3 linked regions of the Oryctolagus cuniculus genome follow. The protein of the gene in region 2 interacts with the protein of the main gene of each other region in a pairwise test. Links are inferred from orthologs where the notes say so. Each region holds a gene or a part of one and is shown on either strand. Other genes may lie near its edges. The genes, in order: GSK3A, LRP6 and LRRK2.

What was found.
Region 1: the proteins of LRP6 (region 2) and GSK3A interact in binary tests that used the Homo sapiens proteins (3 or more experiments, as listed by UniProt). The link is inferred for Oryctolagus cuniculus from reciprocal best matches to the Homo sapiens genes LRP6 and GSK3A.
Region 3: the proteins of LRP6 (region 2) and LRRK2 interact in binary tests that used the Homo sapiens proteins (3 or more experiments, as listed by UniProt). The link is inferred for Oryctolagus cuniculus from reciprocal best matches to the Homo sapiens genes LRP6 and LRRK2.

Annotation. Positions count from the first base shown.
Region 1 is NC_091449.1:12,818,451-12,821,892, reverse strand, and holds part of GSK3A (glycogen synthase kinase-3 alpha), read left to right. Parts: intron 1-217; coding exon 218-301; intron 302-433; coding exon 434-544; intron 545-2,314; coding exon 2,315-2,445; intron 2,446-2,534; coding exon 2,535-2,641; intron 2,642-3,442. UniProt on the Homo sapiens protein: Constitutively active protein kinase that acts as a negative regulator in the hormonal control of glucose homeostasis, Wnt signaling and regulation of transcription factors and microtubules, by phosphorylating and inactivating glycogen synthase (GYS1 or GYS2), CTNNB1/beta-catenin, APC and AXIN1.
Region 2 is NC_091440.1:109,799,437-109,803,079, reverse strand, and holds part of LRP6 (low-density lipoprotein receptor-related protein 6), read left to right. Parts: intron 1-39; coding exon 40-256; intron 257-754; coding exon 755-1,044; intron 1,045-3,029; coding exon 3,030-3,256; intron 3,257-3,643. UniProt on the Homo sapiens protein: Component of the Wnt-Fzd-LRP5-LRP6 complex that triggers beta-catenin signaling through inducing aggregation of receptor-ligand complexes into ribosome-sized signalosomes.
Region 3 is NC_091440.1:131,746,062-131,750,356, forward strand, and holds the start of LRRK2 (leucine-rich repeat serine/threonine-protein kinase 2), read left to right. Parts: upstream 1-1,471; 5' UTR 1,472-1,573; coding exon 1,574-1,730; intron 1,731-1,873; coding exon 1,874-1,959; intron 1,960-4,295. UniProt on the Homo sapiens protein: Serine/threonine-protein kinase which phosphorylates a broad range of proteins involved in multiple processes such as neuronal plasticity, innate immunity, autophagy, and vesicle trafficking.

The sequences.
Region 1 (3,442 bases), on a different chromosome or scaffold from region 2:
TCACACACGCCTGGGGTGTGGGTTTAACACGGGTCTCCAGCTTGTGTGGAAGAGGAACTGGCTGGCAGTGAAGCATTCGAGGGGACCCCAGAGGGACCTCGGGGCCGAGACACGGGGAGCAGCTGCCTGGCTCTGTGGGCGGGCACGGGGGAGTGGGTGTGCGAGGGAGCGGTGCAGAGCCGGCCGTGTCCTGAGACTTTCTCTCTCTGTTCCCAAGAACCGAGAGCTGCAGATTATGCGTAAGCTGGACCACTGCAATATTGTGAGGCTGAGATACTTCTTCTACTCCAGTGGGGAGAAGGTGAGACCGGCGCACGGGGGCGGGGTGCTGCACCGTAGCCCCACCCATCTCTGGGCCTCCCCGCTTCCCCCCTTGCTCTCCATGTGCCGCCCCGCATCGCAGTGCCTCACCCTGCTCCTCTGCTCTCTGCAGAAGGATGAGCTTTACCTGAACCTGGTGCTGGAATACGTGCCCGAGACCGTGTACCGGGTGGCCCGCCACTTCACCAAGGCCAAACTGACCATCCCTATCATCTACGTGAAGGTAGGCGGGCGGGCGGGCGGGCGAGCTCAGGCCACAGAGCCAGGAGCCCTGGAGGGCCTGTGCCCCCCGCCCTCATCCCAAGAACCCCAAATGCAGCTCACGGGGGAGGGCCAGGTGAGGCCTGACCAGGGGTCTGAGGAGGCTGCCGGGTGCCTGCTCAGATCCGCACTGGGACGGGAGCCCAGGCAGCTTCAGGGACGTTGGGGTTAGCACCAAAGAAAGGAGTGCGGAGGGAGTGCTGCCGAGGTCAGGGTCCGGGCCTTCGGGACCGTGGGGGGTGGGGTAGGTGGCAAGGAGCTAGGGTCGGGAGGAGCTCAGTGTCCACAGAACCGGGAATGTGCCTTCGCGCCTCGTCTGCAGGCTCCCTCCCCGGTGCTCGGCACCGTGCCCTGGGTGTGGCAGATCCTCAGGAGGTGTCTGAATGAATGAACTGACGCGTGAGTGAATGAATGCAGCGCAGGGACGATGTGGAGGGCAGAGGCTGGAGCGCCCTGCTGCACTGGCAGGAGGTGGCCTGGGCCCGGTGGCCCGCGCTGCTGGCTGTGAGCGCCCTGCGCCCGCGTGAGCCGACGCGGCTCTGCCACTGCTTGTTGCTGTTGGAACTCACCTCCTGGGAGAGGAGTTCTCTGGTGGGGTGACCCTGTCCCGTGGCTGCCTGCCTACTGGCTCAGTGCTGAGCAGGCCAGAGGCTGCCAAGTGAGCCCAGTATTGCCGTGGAAAGCTCAGTTTGGTAAGGCAGACAGACGTCCCAGGAAACTTGCAAACTTACCAGCTACTGCCATGCTGGGGCAGCCCCCAGCCCAGCCTGGGTGGGGAGGAGGATTGAGGAAGGCTTCCAGGAGACCAGCGCGGGTTGAGGAAGCAGCATCTCTGGTCAAGGGGAGTGGGGACGGAGGAGGAGGGGCTTGGGAAGCAGTGTTGTGTGTGGTGGTGCCGCTGAGGCGCTGTCGGCCAGGTCCTGCTGTGGGCCCTGGGGGAAGCAACAGTGATGCAAACAGAGGTGCCTGCTCCCTTGGCACCCAGGTTCTAGCTAGTGGGAGGATGGGTGGTAGGAAAATGGAGATGGAATGGAGGCAGGTTTTTTTTTTTTTTTTTTTAAGATTTTATGCATTTATTTGAAAAGTGAAGTAACAGAATGAGAGGGAGGGACAGAGAGGAAGGTCTCCCATCCACTGGTTCACTCCCCAAATGGCAGCAGTGGCCAGAACTGGGCTGATCTGAAGGCAGGAGCCAGGAGCTTCTCTGGGTCTCCCACGCAGGTGCAGGGGCCCAAGTGCTTGGGCCATTTTCCATTGCTTTCCCAGGCCATAGCAGGGAGCTAGATCGGGAAGAGGAGCAGCTGGGACTTGAACTGGTGCCCATATGGGATGCAAGTGCTGCAGGCGGAGGATTAACCTACTGCACCACAGTGCTGGCCCCTCCTGGGTGGTTTTGATCATGACTTAAAGAATCTGAGCCCCTCTTAGAGGCAGTGGTGTGGGCGAGGAAGCCCAGGGCCTGGTTTTCCAGCCTGCTTTGTGACAGGGCTTTCTGAGTTTCTGTGTTGCTTTTTGCAAGCGAGGGCTTGTTGCCGATGCCCCATCCTGAAGTCCCAAATCAGAAACTGAGGGCACGGAGCGCAGCAGTCCCTGTTTAAACAGACCCTTTGAGTGAGGGGTTTAAGAGTGGGCTTCCCTGAGGGCAGCAGGAGAGCAGGCCCTGAGGCCAGGACAGCGGTGGTCAGCCCCGTGGGGAGAGCTGGGCCCGACGTCTCTGTCCTGCCCGCCCCAGGTGTACATGTACCAGCTGTTCCGGAGCCTGGCCTACATCCACTCCCAGGGTGTGTGTCACCGTGACATCAAGCCGCAGAACCTGCTGGTGGACCCCGACACCGCTGTCCTCAAGCTTTGCGATTTTGGCAGGTGGGCCTGGGCGGGGGTGCGCAGGGGGCTGCAGGGGCAGGGGTCCCTACACCTTGCCTCGTCTTCACCCCTGCCTGTCTCTTTCACAGCGCAAAGCAGTTGGTCCGCGGGGAGCCCAACGTGTCCTACATCTGTTCCCGCTACTACCGGGCCCCAGAGCTCATCTTCGGAGCCACCGATTACACCTCATCCATTGGTCAGTTATGGGAGGACGGAGGTGGGGAATGACAGTCTTGGCGGTATTTGGTTTTTATTTTTATTTTTAAATTTGAGGTAAACAGTGCTCCCATCCACTGGCTGGGCTGGGCCAGGCCAAAGCCAGAAGCTCGGAACTCGTCAGCGTCTCCCATATGGGTGGCAGGAACCCAATTACTTAAGCCATTACCTGCCTCCCAGGGTCTGCATTAGCAGGAAGCTGGAATCAGGAGTTGGAGTTGAGGTTGGGTATGAGACCCAGGTACTTGAATATGGGAGGGGGGCTTCTTAACCGCTAGGCTGAATGTGTGCCCCTGGGCGGTTTTTGAGCTCTTTCTCCATGCTGTGTGCCAGACTGGGTCCCTTTCACTCAGTCCTCACCATCTTGGGAAGCCAGTGCTGCTACAGGCCCATTTTACAGATGAGCAGCCTCAAGCTTAGAGCCAGGAGGCCCCTGCCGGCCACTGCACCACTGGGAGTGTGCAGGGCTGGGATCTGAAAGCTGACCTGATTCCAGAGTCCCTCCCGTCTCTGGAACCCCCTGGTCAGCTCTCCATTCTTGGCTGGCGGGGACCTTGGGGGAAGCCGGAGGTGAGACTTTGCCACCACGAGGGCATGCCTGCTTCCAGGGCCTGTATGTCCTCACCTGTTTGAGGGTGACAGTGCCACCTTTCAGGATGGGGGAAGGCCAAGAAAAGGTGGTGGGCACGAGGGTTTGACAGGCATTCATCAGCAGTGTGAGGGACTTGGTGCTTCTTAGGTATGACCTTGCGCCCTGAGGGTCAAGGTACTAGGGAGGGGT
Region 2 (3,643 bases):
ACCTCATCCTTCTCTCTGTCTCTGAACTTAAACTTGAAGGTTATGAATACCGATGGCACTGGAAGACGAGTACTGGTGGAAGACAAGATTCCTCACATATTTGGATTCACTCTGTTGGGTGACTACGTTTACTGGACTGACTGGCAACGACGTAGCATCGAAAGAGTACACAAGCGAAGTGCAGAGAGGGAAATCATCATAGATCAGCTGCCTGACCTCATGGGCCTGAAGGCCACGAATGTTCATCGAATCATTGGTAAGTGATTCCAGAATTTACTTAGAAGTAGAGACCAGGAATGAGAGAAGGAGATGGTAGCTGTAAATCAACAGTGTAAGTTGTGAATGTTGTGATATAAGACAATAGAGAATTTCTGTTTAAACCCCTCCCCCTTTGTTATCAGAAGGGGGTCTTCTAAATGCTGACTTCAAACTCTGGCTTCAACAGCTGGAATGGCTACAAATAGATACATAGACACTTGAATGCTGTCATCAAAAAATTAATTCTATATATGAATAATGCAATTTATTTTAAAGCATTCTAAGGGTAAAAAAGCAAGTGTTTCATTGTACTTTCACTCTCGACTAATCTTAATATTGCTTGATTTTGAGATTAGAATTGAAACTCCAGATTGAAAGCAGATGCATACAATCATAGGTCTTTGTGAACCAGATACCTAACTAATTTTCAAGTGAAAATGTTGGTTTTTGTCAGTGTTGGTGCTTTTGTGCCCCTCATCACTCCCTTCTCTTTTAGGATCGAACCCTTGTGCTGAGGAAAATGGGGGCTGTAGCCATCTTTGCCTGTATAGACCTCAGGGCCTTCGCTGTGCCTGCCCCATTGGCTTTGAGCTCATCAGTGACATGAAGACCTGCATTGTCCCAGAGGCTTTTCTTTTGTTTTCACGGAGAGCCGATATCAGACGGATTTCTTTGGAAACAAATAATAATAATGTGGCCATTCCACTCACTGGCGTCAAAGAAGCTTCTGCTTTGGATTTTGATGTGACAGACAATCGAATTTACTGGACTGATATATCACTCAAGGTTAGCGAAAGAATGAGTGACTAAAAAGAGGACTTCTAAAGTGTCTGAATCTTTGTACTGTGACCAATCTCCCTCATTGCTTGCTAGGTAGAGTTCAGCAGAAACCCTTTTTTAACTTTTTTAAGGAGTGACGAGAAAGGCCCATTCAGTATTTCGTTAGGTACCTTTTAATGCAAGATATTTTGCTAGTGTTCTAAATCTGCAAGAAATAATCTCCCTCTAGTTTGTTCCACATGAAGATGATGAGTGATGTTTTCTGTAATTAGCTGAGTAAATAGTAGTATGCTTCACATAAAACAGCTTATAGAGGCTTGGCTCTTGACTTATTTGAAACAGAATTTTGGAGCCTGACTGAGGTTGTTAATGCCAGTTATCAGGGCAGGCGTTGTGGTACTGTGGGTTAAGCTGCTGCTTGGGACATCAGCATCCCATGTGACATGCTCATTTGAGTCCTGGCTACTATGCTTCTGATGCAACTTCTGCCAGTGTGCCTGGGAAGCAGCACATGATGGCCCAAATTCTTGGGTTTCTGCCACCCACTGGGAGGCCAGCATTGAGTTTCTAGCTCCTGGCTTTAGTGTGGTCCATCCCTGGCTAGCTGTTTTTTGTTTTGTTTTGCATAGTTTTTAAAGATTTATTTATTTATTTGAAAGAGTTAGAGACAGACTGACAGACAGAAATCTTTGATCTGCTGGTTCACTCCCCAAATGGCCACAATAGCCGGAGCTGGACCTGTCCAAAGGCAAGAGCTAGAAGCTTCTTCTAGGTCTCCTTTATTTGTGCAGGGGCCCAAGGAGTTGGGCCATCTTCTGCTGCTTCCTCAGGCCATTAGCAGGGAGCTGGATTGGGAGCAGCCAGGATTTGAACCGGCACCCATATGGGATGCTGATGCCTCAGGCAGTGGCTTTACCCACTATACCACAGCTCTAGCCCCCTGGCTGGCTGCTGCAGGCACTGGGGGAGTGAACCAAAGGATGGAAGGTCTCTCTTTTCTCCTCCTCTCCCTCTTTCACTGTCACTCTCCCTTTCAAATAAATAAACACATTATTTTTTAAAAGAAAAGACCACTTTAAAATGATAGTGTATCTTTATTTTCTTCTTTCTAAAATAAATATTGAAAAACATACAAGGATAGAGGGGGAAGTTCCTGACCAGAGAATCTGGAGAATATCTCTTCTTCTTCTGCAGTGATTCGGGCTTGGTTTGGATAATGTACATAAACTTTTATCTAATATGCAAAAGCATGGGCGTAGGACCCACAGAGAGTTGGATTCTAGTCATATTTAGTAAATTTTATTGAGCAAGTGAATAAATGAAGTACATAAGTAAATCTTGGCTTTTACTGGGGGGCCTTCTAAGTTCCTTCATTCTGCAGCTGAGGTGCTGCCGGTCTTGCAGGGCTGTTGAGCGTATTAGGTGAGAAAATCTGTGGGCACAGAGTACTTAACCCGTGTTCAACAGGAAGTAGCATCTGTTATAAATAGCTTAAAATGTGGTGGTTTCAAATTCTTTGGAATGCAAAGCTTTAGTGGTACTAATGGATAGTAATGGCTATTCCGATTTATAAGGTTATTTAGAGTTTCTCGGATTGAATCAATGACTTGGCATACTCACATACTTTGGAAAGCTGACTACCAGTAAAGAGTCTACAGCATTCTGGTCAGATCTTTTGCACTTGATTACTGCTAAAAGAAGAATTAAAAGAAGAATCACTCTGTTACCTTTTTTTTTTTTTTTTTTTTTTTTGAAGAATTGATTTTTGGTTCTTAACAGTTTCAACTGAATTGACAATAAAATTTGAGATCACAGTTGTGTTTAGTAGAGATTAGTATATTTATGTATGCATATAAATTTTGTCAACGTTGTTAAGAGACATTGGTGCTTATGAACTATCCTGTTCCCAACAGAAAGCAGTTCAGACCTTGTTTCTGAATTGTGCTCGATTCGTAAGCCATGTGACTGACTTGTTCATTTTATTTTTGCAGACCATCAGCAGAGCCTTCATGAATGGCAGTGCACTGGAACATGTGGTAGAATTCGGCTTGGACTATCCAGAAGGCATGGCTGTGGACTGGCTAGGGAAGAACTTGTACTGGGCAGACACAGGAACAAATCGAATTGAGGTGTCAAAGTTGGATGGGCAACATCGACAGGTTTTGGTGTGGAAAGATCTAGATAGCCCCAGAGCTCTAGCATTGGACCCTGCTGAAGGGTAAATAATAGCTTTATGTATTGTCCTTTACAGCTTCATTGCCCATTTTGAGGAACATGGCCTAGTTACGGATTATATTCTTTTTTTTTTATTTATTTTTTATTTTTTTAAAATTTTTTGACAGGCAGAGTGGACAGTGAGAGAGAGAGACAGAGAGAAAGGTCTTCCTTTTGCCGTTGGGTCACCCTCCATTGGCCGCCGCGGCCGGCCCGCTGCAGCCGGAGCACCGCGCTGATCCGATGGCAGGAGCCAGGTACTTATCCTGGTCTCCCATGGGGTGCAGGGCCCAAGCACTTGGACCATCCTCCACTGCACTCCCTGGCCACAGCAGAGAGCTGGCCTGGAAGAGGGGCATCCAGGACAGAATCCGGCGCCCGGACCGGGACT
Region 3 (4,295 bases), about 22 Mb from region 2:
AGGGGACTCTTTGCCTCCCAAGGCAGTTATCATGGGAGGATGCTCCCAAGAGAAGCCACAGGCCTTGGGCCTGCTCACAGGCTGGCTGACGGAGTGCCGGCTTCTTACAAGTGGTAATCCAGTGGTCTGGGAAGGGAGCACCTGGTGCAAAGGGATTAGGAGGAGGGCACAGAGGGAGAACTCCTAGGGACAGCGCAGTTACTGCCTCTGCGGCCGGAAGTTCAGACAGGTTCCACGCCGATTGGAAAAGCACACACTGGAGATCTGATAAGGAGTGCAAGGCGCTGTCTGTCGCTTTTGGAAAATCTTATACAGAGAGAGAAGTACCATAGATTGCACGAACGCTTCTCTTCCCTTCAACAGGGATCAACCCACCTCTGCCTCCGCCCGTGCCAGCCCTCCCCTCCCCACGGGGGACTCTGGAGCAAACCTGAGCGCTCCGTCATTTCAACCACAAACGCTCCGGCCTGTGTGTGAAACATTCAAGGGGCATTTTCAAGGTATCCACTGGGAAAGCGAAGCCCACTCTGATTAAGGCGGGAATTGGGAAGACCTCAGTCCACCTGGGGCGAGTCCGGGCTCCCCAGTGCGCACCTGCGGGACCTCGGCTCAGCCCCACTCCCCAGCTCCAGCCCCCAGCTTCCTCTTTAGTAAAATGTAAAATGCCACCGATATGGGAACGGAGAAGCACTAACTTCCAGCCCAGCCTCTCCCTCTCTCAGGACCCCAGCCTCCACCCCCCACTCCCACCCCCGGAGGCCGCCCTGCCTTCCATCCGCAGACGCACAGGCCCACAGAGTCATTCTGGACACTGAGCAAACAGACTTGAGGTTTGGGTCTCTCACCTCTCCTTTCACTTCCCCGTCTTTCTCTCGGTTCCCACGGCGCGCAGAACCCACCCTGCCCGGCGTCCCCTCCACCACGGTGCCGCCTGCCGCAAACTCAAGCTCGCAAGTTGGTTTCTGGGGGCCTCCTGAGCCCCGGGGCTCGCGATAGCAACGGGGAAGCGCATGGTGCGTCCCCCGCCGCGGCCACGGCAGAGGGTGGCCGGGCCCTTCTCCCCGCGCACCGCTGCATCCCTGGGGCAGAGCGCATCCCCTAGCCCGAGGCCGCGATCCCGACCCGGGAGGCTGGGCCGCGTCCCCTTCGCCCAACGCCCGGATTCTATTCTTAGGTCGGCAGGCCGCCGGCTTTCGCTTTTCCTTTTTTCCAGGGCGCAGACCTCCGGCGGGCGGGCCGCGGTGGGGTCGCCGTGGGCTCCGGCCGCGCCGCCGCCACCGCTGCCTACGGGATCCGGCGCCGCCAGGGCGGGTCTCGCGGGCGTGGGCGCGCCCCAGCCGGGCCGCGGATCCACGCTTGGGCCGAGCCCCACGCAGGCCGCGGGCCCGGGGCTCGGGAGAGGGAGGCGGGCCCGGGAGAGGCAGGGCCGCGCCGGGCGGGGCCGCCTTCCCCGTGGGCGGCGCGCGCGTGCGGCCGGGGCGCGGCGGGCCTCGGAGGGCGGCGCGCGGGGCCGGCCCGGGCGCAGGAGGCCTCCTCGGGGCGCGGAGGGCGGCGGCTCGCAGCCCGAGCCACCATGGCCAGTGGCGGTGGCAGCAACCAGGGCAGCGACGAGGACGAGGAAAGTCTGAAGAAGTTGCTGGTCAAGCTGAACAACGTCCAGGAGGGCAAGCAGGTCGAGACGCTGGTGCAGACCCTGGAGGACCTGCTCGTGTTCACGTACTCGGAGCGCGGTAAGGCGGCCGCGCAAACTTTGCGCCTCGCTGCGCCCCGAACCGGTCCCGGCTCCTGCGCTCCTGCCGCCCGGCCTTCCCCGGGGCGCAGAGCGCCAGGGGCCCTGACTCTGCCTCTCCTCCCTCACCCTCTTGTCTTGCAGCCTCAAGGCTGTTTCGGGGCAAAAGCTTCCACGTGCCTCTGCTGATCGTGTTGGATTCGTATATGAGGGTCGCGAGTGTGCAGCAGGTGAGGGCGCCCCCCTACCCCACCCCGCGACTCCTTCTGCTGGGAACCCGACGTTTCCTGCCTGCCGGCGGGGAGGCCGCATCCCCGGGGCTGCTGGGCCGGGCCGGGCCGGGCCGAGCCGAGGTTTGGCCTCCGGAACCGCTGGCTGTCTTGAGGCTGGAGGCATTGTTGGGGGATCCTGAGCTTGACTTAACGGGCTGAGGGCCCGGCACGCTCCAGTCCGCTTTCCCAAGCCGCTACCCAAAGCTGGCTGCAGGGGTTGGGTGGCCGCGGGGACTGCTGTTGGCAGGAGGAGCCAGCCCCCCGTCGTGTCTGGGAGGAACCCCTCTGAACGGCTCCCCCACGTGCAGCCGCGGTCCAGACCAGACCGTCTGGGAAGGGCGAGTTTGACCAAGGGGCGCAGGGAACGGCAATCAGACGCAGTTAGGCGGCTGGAGGTCTGCGCCCTGGCTCTCCGCGGCTGCTCTTTCCAGTCTGAAGGCTTCCGCGCCTTCGTGAGATTCGGGCTGCGTTGTAGGATTTAAAGGAAGTGATGTTTGCTGATTGCCTCACCTGTTTGAGTTGGTGCTTCGCTAAGGTTTGTGACCTAAAACCTCTGTAGGAGTGAAACTTCGAGACCCTGCAGCATGGGGGAACCCAGAAAGGCGCCGAAGGCCTTCGGGGCGTTCAGGCAGGAGTCAGTGAGCCTTGAGAGTGGTTGACCCCAGGACGGTTACTCCCCAAGGTGATGACGTCCTGTGCAGCTTTTGAGATTTGGGGAACTGAGAGCAGTCCTGTGCCCCGCGGGTCAGGTCGCTGGGGGGAGGGGCCCGCGCACTGATCTGGCAGGCTGCAGCTGGGAGAATGGCAGTGTCTCTCCACCTTGGGTCTGTCTCTGTACCTGCAGCTCCTCTGCATGAGCCCTGGGCCCTGGATCTGCCTGCTTCCTATGAGAACACTTACATCTAGAGTAAATGTTTATTTTCTTTCAATGGCGAAGTGTTTGCCATCTGACAGTTGATGTTCTGTCTGCTGTCAAACCAAACCCAGAGGGAAGGGCAGGCGTGGTCAAGAGAGTCCTCATTTTAGCTCTCGAGTCTGGGTAGTTGTTAGGGGCTGGCTGATGGTGCTTGCTGCTGTCACCCACACCACCCTTCTTCCAGCATGTGCTGGGTGTTCTGGAGTCTCTCTCCCAGTTCTCTCCCCGGGATCCTGCACAGCCTTGGGTATGCACTGTGGGGAGGAGTGCTGCTCTGGGAAGCCCAAGGGAGCCAGGAACATAGTCCCTGATTGTTAATTTGAGAAACTGCCCGAGCCTGGGGTCGTTAGGCAGGTCCCTCGGGGTCTTTGCACAGAGTACCAGAGGCAAAGCGTGGTGCACAGTAAATAAGGGATGATGGACATGGCACCTTTTGATTCTCACAGGGTCTCACTGCTCGGAGAACTCCTGCTGGGTATCTTATCTAGCGGGAGCTCAGTGGACATTATGAGACTCCCTGGGGGTCTCAGAGTTGGGGGCTTGAGACTTTTCGCACCCCCAGGTTCTCTTTCCGTCTTGAGCTGCAGTAACTGCAGAATGCGTGCCAGGCACAGGCTCAGTGGTTTGACATCAGGACATCAGTTTGAATTAGGTGGTCTTATCTGAGGGATGTGGAAAGGGGCCTCTCCACGTAAAAGCAGGTTTCTCCCTCACCAGATTTTTTTGACTGTCGGCGCAGAAGACTTGAATGCTTCACCTGCTGCAAGTACATATTTAAGGAGTTAGGTGCCTGACTCTTCCAAAAGGGCTTTCTCAGAAGCCCGTTAATGTGACACTGCAGGCTCTGAGTTCTTCAGGACCTTTGTGTATTTTACGAATGCTTTAAGTAGATGACTGTTGGGAGACCTGGTAGCTAGGCCAAGTTCTCTCTCGCTGCCGTTCATTTCCTCTCTGCTCCTCAGTATTACTTTTTATCCGCACAGTCTCAGCCACTGAAAAGGGGGCGCAGAATCAATGAAAGTGGCTTACAATCTTGCTAACCTCTGCACTCCATTGTGCACTGATGAGATGCTTGGGTTTATAGGATCATTATCCTAAAGTGAAGCTACTGATGTGATTGCGCAGTAGCTGTGCAGAATAGGGGCCTTCTTCGGAAGATAAGCTTTTAATGGGCTGGATGAATGCATCGATTGTTACCTCTGCTGCTCTGCCAGAGATGGTCTTGGCTCACACACGCTCCGCCGAGCTCCTGCAAGCTCGGTGACTGCATCTTTCTGCAGAGCCGTTGTTGATGCTGCAGTTTCAACAACGAAAACAGCACAGGTTTTCTCCCTGTGTCAGCCAGGCAGGTACAGACGCGAGGTGAGCATCCTCGGTG